Linked DNA regions of Notamacropus eugenii. Each later gene encodes a partner of the first gene's protein in a complex. Links are inferred from orthologs where the notes say so. Each region holds a gene or a part of one and is shown on either strand. Other genes may lie near its edges.

Region 1 (8,813 bases):
CTGGATTATATTGTTCATGGTGGTGGGAAAAATAATAAAAATAATGGGGAGGTAAGAAGGCGTCAGCTTGTGGGGTGCTTTAAATGCCAAACAGAGTTTATATTTGATGCTGTTGGGAACAGTAAACTACAAGAGCCCAATGAATGGGGTGAGGGGAACACCATCATGCCTTCACATTAGAAAAACTACTTTGGCAGCTGAGTGAAGGATAGATTGGAGTAGGGAAAGATAAGGTTGGAGGACGATTGCCATAGTTCAGGAGAGAGGTGATGTGATGAGATCCTGAATGAGTGGAGAGAATGGAGAAGTATACAAGAGATGTTTTAAGATTTGAAATTAGACTTGATATGTGGAGTAAGTGAATGAGAGTAAGGAGTACAGGGTGACATAAGAGGTTGTGAGGACGGGTAAATGGGAGGGTGGCGGTGCCCTTGATAGGAAAGTCAGGGAAGTTTTCCTTGATGTAAGGAAGAGGGAAAAGATGATGAATTCTGTTTTGAACATGTTCTGTTTAAGATGCCTATGGGACATCCAGTTTGAGACATTAAAAAAGGCAGTTGGTGATGCAAAATTGTAAATTCAGGAGAGACTAAGGCTGCACCCACATATCTGATAATTGTTTGCATAGAGATAAGAAGACCCATGGAGGCTGATGAGATAACCAAGTGAGATTGTATAGAGGGAAAAGAGAAGGCCTAGCTTTGGGGGGATACCCATGCTTAGTTGGGCATGACTTGGATAAAATCAAGCAAAAAAATTGAGAGAGGTCAGACAGTAAGTAGCCAGGATTACAGTCTGATCTACAGTATAAAAATACCAATGGTAAGTCAAGAAGGATAAGAATTGAGGAAAGGCTATTATTATTATACTTGGCAATTAAGAGATTATTGGTGTCTTTGGAAAGAGTAATTTCAGTTGATTGATGAAATCTTAAGTCAGACTGTAAAGCTTTGAAGAAACCAGTAGATATGGAGAAGGATGATAAGATGGAGTTGAAAGGATAGTAGAGGTAATTTGCTAGCAAAGTTAAGGAGGGGATAGGGTTAAAGGAGCATGTAGATAAATTGACCTTGTTAAGGAAAAGGCTATGTCTTCATCTGGAGTGAAGGTGATTATTGGTAAAGATGTCTCAATGATATGAGAGGAGAGAAGAAGGGATAGGTAGCTCTTTTGAACCTGCACCAAAAGCTGGAGGAATTTCAGATTTTGGTTCAGCAACCTGATTTCATTCTCTTCTGTTCTTGATTTTACCTTAAGGTCTGTTTCCTGATGTCATGCCCCCACTCCCCTCAGAGAATCTATGCTTCTGACCCCATCTAGGGGACCTAAGGCTTATTTCTTCCCCCTGACTTCTTCTCATCACTCTTTGCCCTTCTCTGTGCCTAGATTCCAATCAGGAGCCCATCCCTCAGCTCAGCAGGATGGGTCCAAGAGCTTTTCCCTGTCAAGCAGAGCATGGAACTGATGATCAGAAGCCTGAGGTTCTGAGTTCCAAAATATCGGACAAATCCTTTCCACTTTGGCCTGTGTCAATGCAAATTAACACCAAAGGACTCAGACGAAAAATAGTTGCCTTTTCTGTCAGGAAACACTTCTAAAACTGTTTTTGTTATCATAAGTCTAGTCACCTAACAAGCTCAGAGTCTTTATTGCATAATAAGCTTACTTCTCTTTAATAACTCAAAGGCTCTAACAGCAATAGACCATGCTTTCAAGGTTCAGACATGTTACATCCTAATCCAAACATTCTATACTTCCCTCATAAGCATGAAGCCATATAGCCAAAGAGATTATAAAAACTACATTAGAAAAAGTTCTGGTTTCCTGGGAGTTGGATGCCTTGGATTCCAGGCCTTGGATTGATAACCTGTGTGACCTGGGCAAGTAATTTCACCTCTGTAGGTCTCAGTTACCTCAGATAGAAATAATAATGTTTATTCTGCTGTAACATTTATTACTCGGGCCCTCACTACCTGAAGGTTAGGTAGGTTATATTTTGTCCTTCCCCTAGGGTTCTCAAGTACCCTTCTTAAGGAGAAGTGAAGGGGTTTTTCTAGGCTCTCTGCAATCAGTTCTGACCCCTCACCAAAGGTACCCCCTCTTGCGCAGTTCCATTTAATCTCTAACAAAGTAGCTTTTGCAAAGGAATGTTTCCTTCAAAGGCATAATAACAAATAGATAGACATACTCTCCCAAAATGTGGAACATAATCCACCTCCACCATTATAGCACAACCTCATACTCTGGAGGGTGGAAGTGGATTAGTTAACTCACTTATCTACAGAACAAACACCCAATCTCTAGTTCCAAGTCCAAAACCCCCATCAGGTTCAAATTCCAGGTTCTCTGCCCTCTCTAGTCTCCTGTTGGACAGCCTGGCTGCAAGCTTCTGCAGGAGTCCTGCCCTGAAAGGCATCATGGGTTGAAATGGTGGGAATCACCTCCAACACCTAACACTAGTACAAACTCCAACACCACCAAGCCCATTTCTCTCAGAGTCAGCTTAAAAAAGAGGTTGTACCGGTGAAGAAATTTTTCTACTCTCACAGCTTCATTTAAGTCATGACATCAAAGCTGTGGTTGAACAATGTGATCTTCACCCTCTGGATTCAGCAGCAGGGAGTGCAGAACAGAGAGTGAGTCAGAAAGAACGGCCATTTTAGTCTTGCCAGCATCAAAAATGTAGCCTTTTGGGTTATGCATCCAATCAGAGGAGGCTATATCCATTCACCTCTAGTAGGAGATGCAGAGCAGTTCCATGTTAGTCACTCTGGGCATGCTCCAAAGGCCCCTCAGGATGCCTTCTTACACCACTTGTCTTACAGAAATGGCACTGCTGACCTGGCCTGGAATCTCTGGCCATGAGCAAATTACATAACCTCAATGCTCCAGACCTTTCTCTAAAACCATGGTCTACAGATGAGTGACCAATCTTTATCAGTGGAGAGAGTTGCCAAATAGGGAGTTCCTCATACTGATGAAAATCATGAATCTAAACCAAAATACTTGATCGTAGATTTAGAGCCAGAGGGACCTTAGAGGCTATCTTGTGCAACCCTCTCATTTTACAGATGAGGAACTGAGTCTGACAGACGTTAAATGACTTGCTTAAGGTCACACAGAATTAGTATCTGAAACAGGATTTGAAACCTAGTCTTCTAGAAGCCAAGGCTAGTACACTATCCATTACATGATGTTACTGTGAGGAAAGAAAGTATTTTGTAAAAATTAAAATACTAAATAAATGATTATTCCCACCCCTCCCAAGTTGTGAAGAAAGCATGTTATATAGATTTAAAGGGCTATAGAAATGGTTGCTATGATCACTACTACCAGCGTCCCCTCTTTATTGTGAAAATAACATTTTGTAAAAATTAAAAAACTATATAAAAAATTAAAAAAATCATTACTCTATTAACACCAACAACACCTGAGCCCCCCCTTTTCCCTCTTACTACCTAGTTCCCTCAAAAAGTTCTTGGGAAAGCACTTTGTAGACTTCAAAGTACCAAAGAAGTATAAGCTCTTATGGCTTACTGGTCTCAATTTGCCACAAACTATCACAATGCCGCCATCTTACCAACTAATCTGACAAAAGCACCACCAACGCAATTCAGGGTAAAGCTTTATGTGAAAGTCGGTAAATGTGTAATGTGTTAACATTGTCATGGCATTGTTGCTTGGGGCATCTGGGCCTCATTGGAGCTTAGCATTTGCTGTAGATAGCAGCATTTCCTCGCTCTTCATATTCCTCTTTGCTGACCCAGAGCTGCTGGAAGGCTTGGAGGGAGGCTAGGATGGAGCCTCCAGTCCATACAGAAGTCTTCCTCTCTGGTGCTGCTGCCACGAGGGGACTGTCATTGGGAAAGAGTTGGCTCAGCTCCCTCTGGAAGCGGTCTGGGAAGCCATCCAGCATAGTGCAGCCCCCACATAAGAGTATATTGGCCATCATCTCCTCCTTAAAGGAGGCTTCACATTTGTTGAGACAGGCGGCGGTCACGGAGGGCAGGCCCTGCTGGCTAAAACCAGCTAGGGAAGGCTTGAAGAGCATTTCAGAGCACAAGAACCTTTCCTTGCCAATAGTGATCAATTTCCCATCTGGGAGCTCATAGTCCACCCGTAGGTCTTCGAGGGGCAAACTGAACTCTTCGTCCAGATTGGATGCCGCATAACAACACTTTTTCTTAATGTGCTCCATGATATGTAGGTGTTCATCACTGAATTTGTGCCCGGATTCATTCAGTAGCTTCATAAGGTAATTGGTTAGGTCGCAGCCGGCATAGTCCACATGGCCTATCAAGCCTGGCATGATGTCCCCCTCTGAAATGGGCACAACATGGGAGACACCATGACCACTCTCTACTACTAGTCCTGAGGTCTTGCCATAGGAATAGATGGACAGCAGGGACTGAGAAGCAACATGCATAGCTGGGATGCTAAAAGTCTCAAACATCAGTTCTGCATACTTCTCCCGGTTACTGCTGGGACTTAGTGGAGGGTCTGAAACAAGAATAGCATGTTCCTCAGGGAGGATCTTCATGGCTGAATGAAAGATATACTCCCAGATATCCTGGACACAGTCCCAGTCCACCACTATACCATGTTTGAGAGGGTTGACCAACTTGAGAGGTACTTCTGTGTTCAAAAGTTCATGTCCCACATAGGTTTCTTTCCGGTTGTCTCCCGAGTTGGCAGTCTCCAGGAAGTGCTTACCAACTGTTGATGAGATGAAATAGGTGGGCCTTGGTTCTCCTGCATAGCCACATTTACAATACTGGGAGCCAAGGTCGATAATTAGTGCTTTGACCTTTCTTGTTTTCTTTGGTTTCATCTTCATCTGTGCTGGTGTCCCATTATCCATGGATTTCCCATCTAGGCTCATTAACATACTGGCTTCGCCAGGATCACCTTGGGCAGTTCCTACAGGCATGGGCCTAGGGCTGGGGGTGTTCCTCGTTGCCATTTGCTTCCCTGACTCAGTTTTCACATCCACATACTTGAGATCTGTGGTGAGAAATAAGTAAGGCTTACGCTCTGATGGCCGTCATGGCGATCACTGTAATTGTGATGTAACAAGCATTCATACTTCAGAGAGTTTTCCCCTCCAGTGGTCTATATGATGTATTGAGGACATGTGAACTCTTCACTTAAAAGTTCTGATTCAGTGGGAAATGCATAACTAGTTTTTTAAAACTCCAAACACCATTTATTCAGAGAACCTCTCCATGTCTCTCCATTTTACTCCTTTGCTAAGAAGGGTTGAGTCCTCTAACAGTGTTATTAACACTTGTGTTCAAAGAATCAGATAGAACCAAAATTCCCCTGATTAATTTCTTTGAGAAGGTATAAAAAATGTTAGCAAGTCAAGTCAGGGGAGACAACTTGAGAAATGTTGTTCTAAGAAATAAAATCTAATTTAGTAAAGATAGTTGTAGTGGCATAGGGAATAAAGAGCCAGTCTTAGAGCCAGGAAGTGCTAGAATCAAGTGCCTTCAAATAGGTATTGGCTACGTGACCCAGGGCAAATAACTTCCAGTACTCTTAAGTGGTTCTCCAAGACTAGAAATTGCAAAGAAGATATTGACCTATATTGGTAGGAGTAGCCTATACTAATGAAATAAATCCAGTATTCACTCCTTTACTGTACTTTAAGAGGCAAAGTAGAGTAATGGAAAGTGAGTTCGACTTGGAATCAAAAGACTTCATCTGAGATCTATCTCCAATTGTTAATTGTGTGACCTTAGACTTTTATTTGAAAAAACTGAGGTTCAGGAGAATTATCTCTAAGAGGGATTGATAGTAATTAACTGTCCTGCCTGCCTGCCTCATATTGTGGTTTTGAGAATCAAATGAGATGCTGTAGGTAAATGTTCTTTGTGAAATGTACAACAGTACACAAATGAAAGCTTTTATTAATATTACCATTATCATAATCCTAATTTTTTCTGTTCTACTATATGGAAATGTTTTCTCTCTCCCCCTTTCGGTGTTCATAAATTCAAGATAAAAAGTAAATTTAAAAATAGCATTATTATTATGGTTAAAAGTAATTTGGCTCTATGGTAGCAACTAAAAACCAGAATAAGCAGAGTAGTTCAATAACTGTTCATGAAGGTTCATTTGGCTACATGATCCCTTCCCTCAAATAGTTTTTAATCTAGAAGGAGATAACGCACACACAAGTCTATCATGGAACAGGACATGCATAAGAAGGGTGCAAACTATATGACACCTGGGTAAGGGAAGATCATTTTCAACTAGGAACCAGAGAAGGCTTCATGGAGTAAGTAGGTAAGCATTTGAGACAATTCTTAAAGGATAAATGGTATTATTTTAACAAGTCTTGAAGACAGAGTTAGAGAAGAATATTTCATTTGCAGGAGATGATGTGAACCTAAAGGCAGGGAGATAGGAAAGTGCAAACTTTGTACAGGAGTCAGAGATGAGTGAAACGTAGGGAGATGCTTGAAGCAGGGAAACCAATTAGGAAGTTATTTCAGTACTTCAGGACAGAGGGGTTAAGAACCTGAACTGGGGTAATCTAGGCTATGTGAGTGGAGTGAAGGGCACACATGAGATAGAAACAGCAAGATTGGGCAGTTGTTTGGTTGCACATGTAGAGTTAGAGTGACTAAGTCGGAGGATGCCACCAAAGTGGCTAAAATTGGTGTCTGGAAGGATGGCGCTGTTCTCTACAGTAATAGGGAAGTTTAAAGAGAGATGGGTTTGAAAGGAGAAATAACGAGTTCTGTTTCAGATGTGTATGCAGAGTTCAAAATAATCAATTGGCAGTTGTTGATGCAAGCCTGGTGCTCAGGAGAGAGGTAAGAGCTGGATTCGTAGATCTTAATATATATATTAATATATATATATAATTGATATATAATAATCTGTTTAGAGGTGACAACTGAAGGGGTGGCTGATTAAATCGCCCAGAATGAAAGCATAGGATAATAACAGCTAACATTTAGATAATGCTTACTTATCTCCTTTGACCCTCACAACCCTGGGAGGTAGATGTTATCTCCATTTTATAGATGAGAAAACTGAGGCAAACAAAGACTAAGTGACTTGGCTAGGGATGATACGGCTAGTTTCTGGGGCCGATTTTTGAACTCTGACTTCAGGCCTGGCACTCTATCCATCATGCCCGGGAAAGGTCTAGGAGGTTAAGGGACTTTCCTGGTCCCCCGAGCTTTCAGTGCTTACCTTCTGTCTACTATGTGTAGACAGACACCTTCTATGAACCTCGTTTTTAACATGTCTCTCACACTGGAATGTTAGTTCCTTGAGGACAGGGGCTATGTTTTCTCTGTATACCCAAGCACTTAGCACACTATCTGGCACATAGTAAGTGCTTAATCAAAGCTTGGTGACCAAATGGATGATGAACTAGCAAAGGATGTTGCACGGTGCCAGGCACTGTGCTAGCCCTGAGGTTACAAAGACAAACGTGTCATAGACCTGACATTCTATCAGGGGAGATAATGAATGAATGAAAAAGTATTTAATAACCCCTTACTGTGGCACAAATCTATTGGGCCATGCATATCTACCAGGCAGGCTGGAGCTGTTGGTCTGGTGGGTGTGACAGGTTTTAACCTTCAGTCTCCTAGTTTTCTTCCAGGATGACCTCAAGCCAAATCTGCATGCAGGCTTTCCCTGCTCTGCTGGCACTATCTTGCCTTCCCCTAAAAAAAAAATTACCATGTATTTAAAATGTAAGGTCCTTGAGGGGAGAGGAGATGGTTTCATTTTTTTTCTTTTTAACCTAGGGCAGTACTGGTATAGCACATAGCAGTATGCACTTAAATGTTTTGTTGATTGATTATATCTAGGCAAATGGGGAGAGATCAGCTAGTGTAGGGGAAGGCAGGCTGAGTTCCTGATAGCCTACCAGGTCCAAGCAAGAGGCTGATTTCAAACCCAACAATGGCTGTCCCTTGCCTCCTGAATAATGACTGAGCATTCAAGTTCTTCCTTAATCTGGCTCCAAGCTACCCTTCTAGCCTTCCCTAATATAACTTCCCATCATGTACTGTGTGTTTTAGCCAAGTTAGATTATTTTTTCTCACTTCTATGCTTCTATTCTTACTTTCCTAAACCTGGGAAAAGGCAGACAGACAGACAGACACACACACACACACACACACACACACACACACACACACACACACACTGTCTCTCTCTCAGTCTCTCTCGGACCCCAGTGGAGACAATGCAGGATCTAAAGCCCCAAAGTGCTGGGAATAGCCATTTATACCCTCCCCACCATAGATAAGCATATACAGAATATATACACAATACAAGTGTAGTGGGGAAGAAGGGTGGGATTTGGTTCTATAGCCTCTATCCATGGCCAGTTGATGTGATCACCATAAGCAAAGGGGAATAAAGTCATCCTTTATAAAATGTGAAATTCTTCCTGATAGAATTAGAAAGAGAGCCTGGACATTGAATGGGGAGACAGTTTGACAATCTGAAAGAATTCAGGCCCCTCAAGTAGGAGACACATGCACACACTCTACATGAAGACAGACTCATTCTGTTTTAAGGAGCAAGGCCTCTGGCAGCAGAGTCCCAGAGAGAGAACTAGCCTGGCTGGTAGATTTGGTCTGCAGGCCTACAGAGTTCAGCTGGATCTAGGGCCTAGCACTGTGGATCCTAGGCCTAGGAGAGAGCAGTGTGAAGACATCTGGTGAAGAGGAAAGGACACTGAGATCCTGTAGAATCAGAGGCAGGGATTGTTGTCTTTGTGTGTTATCATTAGTATGTCATCAACACTCCACTTGTCCCACAAGCACATGGAAAGA
Region 2 (8,716 bases), on another chromosome or scaffold:
GAGGGTAAGGGGAATACTTTAATAAGGCTTGACTAAATCACTTTGCCTAGATGGCATCTAGAAGGAAATCCTCTGACCTTGAATTATGAAGGGCCTTTTGCAAGGAAAAGCCATTTCAGTCTGACCCTCAAATCTGATTGCCTGGGGCTTATACCAGGCACCTAAATCCAATTGTGACATGGGTGAAACCGAATAACCCATCTAACACCTCCCTTTCCCTTTCTCCTTCTGGATTTGGCTTGGTCATTCACCCGTTGTTAAGAGAACCCTTCCTCTTGGAAGAGGACAGTATCACTGATTTCTTAAGAATAGGTATTAATACCTACTGTGTATATGACTTCATTATAAATTTATTTTAAGTCATCTTCGCAGAATGGTAAATATCCTAAAAGACTTTTTCATCACCTTTTTACCCTCCTAAAAGTAAAGCAAGAGTAATGAGAAACTTCACTCTTGCAGTCAAAATATCTGACCAACCTCAGCAGCTATCAAACATGAATCAAAATGTAAAACCATCTCATTTTTCCCTAAACAGAAGCCTGAGTTCACCCTTGCCTCAAGACAAAGGACCAAAGGATAGAAACAGGAACTGAACCTGTGATTTCATGGGTCTAAGTAATTCCCAGAAAAGCAAACTCCCTCTACCAACCAGACAAGACTTCACCATCTTGCTTAGTCTGAGAGAAGTGCCAGTAAACGCAGAGGCTAGGTGACTTGCCCAGGAATAACCGGCCAGTTTGTTCGCATCTTCCTGGCTGTCTACTATGCCACAATGACTCTCCAACAACTAAAGATAAATATTAGGGTACTCTTCCCCTTGGGTTCCAACTTCCTGTCTTTTTTATTATTTTATTGGTATCTTGCATTTGACTTTATGTTCCAGCCAATGTTCCCTTTAAACTGTGTGCAAGCATAACCTCAAATGTCTCCAAGGACAATATCTCCAAGGACAGCTTTTATTTATAATAGTCAAAATGACTTAGTTGCTCAAATAAATACACATATTAAAAATAAAGTTTATACAAAGAAAGAAAAAAGTGATAGAATAGTCAAGGTAAGTGAGGCCAAATTTTCTTATAATTAGATTTTTATGTAAAGACACTCTACATAGAAGAATATCAGGCATGTCAGGTAAGTAAAATTTGTTTTTAACTGCCCCTTGTTTTCTATTTTGGCCCTTTCTCAATTAGCAGGATTCTTTCCAGACCAATTAAAATGAATTTAGTGATGTATAGTGTTAAAAAAAATGGAAGACACAATTTCAACTGAGCTGTGGCTAACAGGTCAGTAGAAGTAAAAGGAAAATACTACAAAAGGACGATGCCCTCAGCAGTCACCTCCAAACTATTTGATCCCACGCCTCTATTAGTAAAACGTTTTTGAGCATGACTCCTGAAATGCAGACATATTGTCATTACTTATATAAATACATATATATTATACCAATTTATATATTACAAACGAAACTAAATCTAAAAAGATGAAAGATATTTTAAAATAAATTTCACTTTATTAGTGGCACAAATAACATTTTAGTTAGAACAATATGGGTGAATAATGCTTCATTTTTTAAAAATCTTTGTTACTTTGTGATAGGTTCAGTTCTAATACTTGGTTGTAATGGCTGTCACAGATGAAATGGGAAGGATTTACAAACTATGTGGCGGTGTTCAGTCGTTTTTTAGTTGTGTCCAATCTTTGTGACCTCATTTGCCAGTATTTTTGACAAAGATACTGGAGTGGTTTGCCATTTTCTACTCTAGCTCATTTTATAAATGAAGAACTAATGCAAACAGGGTTAAGTGACTTGCCTAGGGTCACTCTACTCGTAAATGACTGAGGTCAAATTCCATGTCCAGCAGTCTATCCACTCTGTACCTCGCTGCACATTTGACACACTGTAATTCCACAAATCACCAGTCTTAAAGAGAACAGGATAATTGATAGGTGAAAAATGTATTGTTTTACTCTCCATTACTAACTCAACTCAAAAAAAAAAGTATCACTTATTAGAAATGTCTTTTCCTTCAAGAAATCTTCAGGTTTTTCCTCTGGTGTTAGTCTTCCTTCTCCAATCCCCTATCCCAATTTGTTTGAAACATTTTTTATATTTACTTATTTTTGTATGTGTGACTTCCCCCTCAGTAAAATGTAAGCTATCCAAAGGCAGGCCCTATTCTGCTGTCATATCTAATGGAAATATCTTTGTTTACCTCCTTCTCTATCATGAACAACTTTTGCCTATATTCATATGTTAGGAAACAAAAGCCTGTGAACACCAAGGGATAATCAGTGTCTACCCTTCTTTGAAAGGGCAGTAACTGTGAAACATCCTACCAAATGGGCTCAAAAGAGCAAAAGCCCACCATTAGTTAAGACATAGACTCATCTAGCAGCTTAGCTGTACTTGGAAGGTGACTTGGTAGGATTAATGATATGTAGAAACTAAATTCTATGACGCTAAAATTCTATGTAAAACCTAGTCTGAGACTACTCTCTCCAGCCCCACCCCAAGTTTCATCTAGTAGTGTCTGTACTTCTGTTTTTGCCCTATCTGTGAAGTAAATATCTCCTTGTAAAAGTTGATACTAAAAGGAATTAGAGTGTTAATTAATGGCGGCAAACTGAGAAAAACACCCTGGAATGGGGGAATCAAGCTGAAAGCATTACAGAAAAGACACCCCTCCTTCTCCCCCACTTCCAACCCTTCAGGGCTACCCATAGACGACCCCTGAAAGAAAAAAAAGAGATGGTAACCAGACTTGTTGTGGGAGATGAAGGCCAAAGTTCTGCTACAACATAAAAACTGAATCTATGGGAGCTGATGAGAAAGTAGTCCAGAGGGAGAGAAGAGAGACCCAGGGCAAAGTCTCACAACACACCCAAGATTGCTAGAGGATGAAGTCTGAACTTCCTGCCTTTCAGTCTACCCATGTTAATTACTACTGCATGTCAATTTCCTGCCTCCTAAACAGTTTAGCCCCTTTAGTTCTCAATGGCAGCAGAAAACAGAAGAATTTTGCCAGGATTTACTCTCTGTCATGAAAACAGAGCTCATCTTTTTAAGCAGGTAGAGTTAGTTAGAGTGGACCGAAAGGAGGAGAGTAAATGGAGGAAGGAAAGGGGAAGATGAGCCCTTAGGGACTATCTTGAGAGCAGAATTAGGTAAAGCAAAGATGACACATCATGAACTTTCCTTATTCCTATTTCTTCCCCCAAATGATATATCCCTTAGCACTTTCCTGAAACAAATCAACATTGGCTCTGTATTTCAGAATTAAAGGACTTACTGTGCCTCCCTCATATAAACAGAATAGACCCATCTCCTTCTTCCCCAACTGCTGTCCTAGGGAATTGAGGTATTCAGAATGAAAAATGAGGGGAGACACCAACTGGGATATAGCTCAACAAATTATGACATATGCATAGGTACCATTGTGCTGTAATAAATGACAAAGGAGATGATTTCACAGAAACCTGGGCAGGCTAATATGAACTGATGCAGAGTAAAGGGAGGAAAATCAGGACATTTTAAACAGTAACTAGAGAACTGCAAAAAATAACAACTTTGAAAAACTTAAGAACTATAATCAATTCAGTGAGTACCAATGATTCCAGATAAATGTTAAAGAACGCTACCACCTCGTGCCAGCTAAGGGATAGAGTCGGGGTGCAGAATGTGTCATTTTTAGAGCATGAGAATTTGATTTAGTTGACTATGTATGACGTTGCTATAGCTTTCCTATAAGAGCTTTGCTTTTCTTTTTCTTGGAAGGGAAAAAATAAATGTTTCTTAAGTGGAAAAAATTCTAATTAAAAAAAGGGAGAACTGCAGGGATGAGTCAAGATAGTCTTCTCTCCTGCTTTTTAAGGGGTTGAGGAAACAGGAGTAATTTATATTAACCCCACTGCCCAGGTATGCAGGGCATCTGACAAGCACAAAGCTTACTACTTGAATAACCCAAACCTGTCCCAGCTTCTGAGCATGCTCCATCTCACTGCAAATTACTAAGGAACTGCCATGATACTCAATTTCTCCCAGTTTTCATAACCATTGGTGATGTGGGGAGGGTTTACATGATATATGACCACCCAGCCCAGGGACCTAGAGACACAGTCAGTGTTTATTATCCAATACCAGGTTATCCAACAATATAGATATTCAATGTTAGAGCTAGGAATCAGACTTGTAATTTCATTGATACGAGGAATTCTAAATTGATAAAACTCCTTCTAACACTGTAGGTCAATATCTTCTGTGTAATGCATAGTATTAGAGAACTGCCTAAAACACTACGAGGTTAAGTGATTCTTCCAGGAATATTTGCTAATATGTGTCAGAACCACAACTTGTCTCAGGTCTTTCTGGCTCTGAAACCAGCTCTCTCATTTACTATGCCCCCTGCCTTATTAAATATTTGAAAAGTTTAATTTTTCTTATTTTATATAAAAATAAAATATAAATAGAAGAATTGAAAATATTTTAGAATAAATATAAACAGAATAAAACAGAATAGAAACAGAATATTTTCTTCCCACACACCCTAAGGACCACCTTCTGTGTCCCATTTTGACCACCGCTGCCCTGGAGCACAAGGAATTCCACTGAGAAAACATGGTTGAGGTATGATAATGAAGAAAACAAGCCTCTTGCCTTAAAGAAAGCATGGTTTGGGAGAAAACAATGAAAACAAATATTGACCTGAAATACTTTATTTGGCACTGAAAATATAATTTCCCATCCCATTTTTTCATACTTGCTCTGTTAGTAATTCAGTAAGAAAGAGAAATCAGACCTGCCTTCAGGGCCCTTTCCACATGAGTTTGTTTTTCTCCTACCTACAAGTGCACTTCCAGTTAATAGGCAAAGAGATGTGGTACAAACGAAGGATCATATCAAGGACACAGTGACACTGATGGCGACAGGAAGTGATAGCATCAGTGTATGGGCAAAAACTGTAAATTACTTTTACCTCTGTCTTCTCTCCCTTAGGAAGCCAATACTGTTAGTTCCCCCTAACCTATCAGATCAAAGACTGAAGCTAGATAAGTTTTTTTTTTTTTTTACTCATTAATGAATGAATAAAGTACACAGCATTGTACCTGATAGAAATAAAAACCCCCAAAAACTGCTTTGGACATAAGAAAATCTATCTGGAGATCACTAGCTTTCCTAAGTCACAATTCTATAGTCCAGTTAACCTGAGCAAACTCTATTTTTCCAGCTCATTTCCTCCTCATCCATTCTCTCTTTATCCATTCCATGTTCTCAAATGCCTCAGCATCCAGAGTACTTTCTCCACATGCTTCCTAACCCTTCCTCCATGCTACTATCTGTGACCAAAATCTGACCTCCTAGGTCAAATTATCTTGCTTCTGTAATATGATGTCAATTCAATTCAATAAACATTTCTTAAGGGCATACTCTGTGTTAGATACTGGGATGTGAAAATGAAAATGAAATATTCCCTGCCCTTAGGGAGCTGATAGTCTTCTAGTGAGAATACTGCTTATACACAGGTAAATACAAAGTAATTTGGGGGAGAAGAGCTCAAAATTCCAAAAAGGCTTCATTTAGAAGGTGGTATTTAAGCTGAGCATCAAAAGAAACTAGGGATTTTATGAGATAGACAAGAGAAAGGAGAGAATTCTAGACACATGGCAGAAAGGAAGAGACAAAGGCATGGAGATGGGCAATGAAACATGTATAGAGAAAAGAAAGTAGGCCAGTTTGATTAAAATGTAGAGTGCATGAGAGTGATTAATGTAAAATAAGTGTGGGAAAAGAGGCTGAAGATAAAGTGTGGAAGGGTTTAAATGTCCCCTCAAAAAAGGTTTTCTTTCCCCCCGGCAGCACTGAAGTTCAACGAACAGGGGCATGATATGATTGGGTTTGTGCTTTAGGAATATCAATATGACAGCTGTGTGAAGGGTAGTTTGGAGAGAGGAGAAATCAGCAGCAGGGAGTACAATTAGGAGGGTACTGGAACAGCTCATATGCCAAATGACGAGAGCGTGAACTGCAGCAGTGTCCATGGGGGCAGAAGCCATAGTGTGGTAAGGGACTCAATAAGAATTGGCTAGTGATTACATATGGTGAAGGAGGCGATGTCAGGGAAAATGAGTTGAGAATGATTTCCAAGGTTACTTACTTGGGTGACTGAAAGAATGGTGCTATGCTTGACAACAAAACATACCAAAGAGCGAGTTTATGTTAGTTTCTTTTTTAAAAAAGATATTGAGTTTGAGATGCCTATTCAGCAACCAAATGGAAATGTCTAGCAAGTACAGGACTGGAGCTCTGGAGAGACAGTTATATAGGAGTCATATGTGTAATGGTAATTTAACATTAGGAGCTGTGGAGATTAACCACAAAAAAGAACAGAGTGGAGAAAAGGCTTCCGGGACAGAGTCCACACATTACCTAAAATTTCATGTTTCAAAGGTCCTTTTATTTCAACATCCTGGACAGCTGGGGTCTTTTAGACTGAATAACAGGAACCAAGGACCAGTTGAAAAGTCTGGTTCATGGGTTCCTTGGGTATTATGGGGAAGAGAAAAGCATAGAATAAAAGGAAAAAATAGGAACCTTCAAAGAATCTCAGGTTCTGAGCTAAAGCTCTTTGGGAGTTAGAGCGAGGGTCTGTATTGTAATGAACCTGAGTGGTAATGTATATATATGATTATATAACTGCAAGTATATGTATATATATACATATACATACACACATATGCCTATAAATATGAATGTATATATACATATATTAGATTACCTTGTTTTATTTGCCCTTTTTGGGGGTGGGGAGTAGAGCTGAAGGAAATTGAACCTGTGATTTTTTCATTGCAACAAGTTCTTCCCAGAGAGGAAAACCCAGGATCAATGCTAATCACCACCACTCTACAATTTATAGTCTTAGAAGCTTGCCTGGGGACACGGTGAGGCTAAGGGACTGGTCTACTGTATGTGTCTTGAAGCTAAGCCTTTCTGGCTAGCAGCATTCTGTCTTCTATGTCATGCTTCCTCCCTTTATTTCCTTACAACACTAAATACTGTTCACATTCTCACACTGTGCAGTTTTTTGCTCATGTAAGATCTAATCCGAGATAAGAAAAAAATTTAATTTGTTTCAGGATCAAACATAATCATTGATTTAGTGGAATTTCTAAAACTTTCAAAAAATTAGAAGTTAACTACAAAACACAGATTGCCCACTATGGCATGCAGTTGGACAGGCCACCAATGAGTACAGTTCTTGGCTAGAGGTGCAATGACTTCAAATTGAAGTCATTCAATGACTCAGAATTAAAATAGGAAAATATAAGAATGAGTCATCATTTCAAAACCCAAAAGAATGTTCAATGATGACAAATTATTCCATGCTACCATAAAAGACCATCTAACACTAATATATTACTGGTAATAATTTATGGCATAAAATCATGAGCTTTCATCTGAGAAAGATCACACTCCATGTTTTAAAATCTGTAGCTTCTTACTATACTCAGTTCAAATGCCACCAGGTCCTAGTTAGGTCGTTCCTTGTCTTCCAACCCAACTGTGATTGGTTCCCTCACAACATTGCCTCATATGTACTTCCCCTAGGGGCAGCTAGGTGGTGCAGTGGATAGAGTGCTGGACCTTGAGTCTAGAACACTTGTCTCCCTGAGTTCAAATCCAGCTTCAGATACTTCCTAGCTGTGTGATCCTGGGCAAGGCATTTAATTCCGTTTGCCTCAGTTTCCTCATCTGTAAAATGAGCTGGAGAAAAAAAATGCAAAACACTTCAGTATATTTGACAAGAAAATCCCAAGTGGGATCATGAAGAGTTGGACACAACAAAACTGGCATCTGTTATAGAATGTATATGTCTTTAGGACACATTATTTTCAGTTACGTTTTTTGCACTCCCAACACCTAGCACAGTATCTGGCACATTGTAAGAGCTTAATAAATGCTTGCTGATTGAACTGTAGGTCATTAAAAGATGCATGATACAAATAAAGAGGCTATAAATTAGCATTGATATTAAATACTATAAAAGACATTTATGAACATGAATGACCAAAATCCAAAATGGTACGATCATGTAGTAAGAGACGGGTAGCCCACGTATTACACTAGACTTCACAAAATATTGAAAGAAGCAGAGGAAGATATCCAGTCCATTTGGTGTGTCCTCTCTGAAGAACCTACAGAGACACCCAGATAAGAATCAAGCTAGATAAGAGACTTGTCACTAGGTCAAAATCTGCAGAATTACTGATACAATGAAGATGTGGAGTAGAAGCTTCTCTGCTTACAAATCTAAGACACAAGCCAGTTCCTTTTAAAGGTTTTAAAGGAATCATGAATTTATTTGGAGGGAAATCAAATCCCCCACAAAGAAGGAGCTTTTAAAAAATATACTCGCTATTGTCATTCCAAACCACGTAGCTCTACTGCCAGAATCCTAATATTACATTTAAAAACATTGTCATACTTAAGAGGGCAAAACAATAATGCAATATAATGTCTTTAGACAGAAAACTTCCAAGTAAGCAGATAGACTGGCAACATTTCATATGACCCAGGAAAAGGGGGAGGGGGGCGTCTTGTGAGTGCCTTTAAAGAACAAAAAGGCGGCTAGGAAACATCTGGTATTTCAAATATGCCCTGGGCTGATTTATAGACAACTTGGGTCTGGAAGATATTATAAAGAATTTAGGGTGAGATCAT

Evidence for each region.
Region 2: the proteins of ACTL7A (region 1) and TES are in contact, whole or in part, in a crystal structure (PDB 2XQN), measured with the Homo sapiens proteins. The link is inferred for Notamacropus eugenii from reciprocal best matches to the Homo sapiens genes ACTL7A and TES. Residues at the interface, in NP_006678.1 of Homo sapiens: Leu28, Gln29, Thr30, Ala31, Ser32, Leu33, Arg34, Asp35, Gly36, Pro37, Ala38, Lys39, Arg40, Ala41, Val42, Trp43, Val44, Arg45, His46; in NP_056456.1 of Homo sapiens: Asn311, Glu312, Tyr313, Thr314, Gln315, Ala316, Glu317, Leu323, Phe326, Leu335, Ala336, Gly337, Glu338, Ile339, Tyr340, Val341, Tyr353, Pro370, Glu371, Val372, Gln373, Arg374, Val375, Thr376, Tyr377, Ala384, Phe389, Leu398, Ile399, Gly400.

Annotation. Positions count from the first base shown.
Region 1 is NC_092872.1:63,656,415-63,665,227, reverse strand, and holds the start of ACTL7A (actin-like protein 7A), read left to right. Parts: upstream 1-5,121; 5' UTR 5,122-5,343; intron 5,344-6,149; 5' UTR 6,150-6,291; intron 6,292-6,757; 5' UTR 6,758-6,824; intron 6,825-8,813. Other genes in the region: ACTL7B (actin-like protein 7B), read right to left, coding at 3,707-4,963. UniProt on the Homo sapiens protein: Essential for normal spermatogenesis and male fertility. Required for normal sperm head morphology, acroplaxome formation, acrosome attachment, and acrosome granule stability.
Region 2 is NC_092874.1:136,989,457-136,998,172, forward strand, and holds the start of TES (testin), read right to left. Parts: upstream 3,398-8,716; 5' UTR 3,324-3,397; coding exon 3,291-3,323; intron 1-3,290. UniProt on the Homo sapiens protein: Scaffold protein that may play a role in cell adhesion, cell spreading and in the reorganization of the actin cytoskeleton. Plays a role in the regulation of cell proliferation. May act as a tumor suppressor. Inhibits tumor cell growth.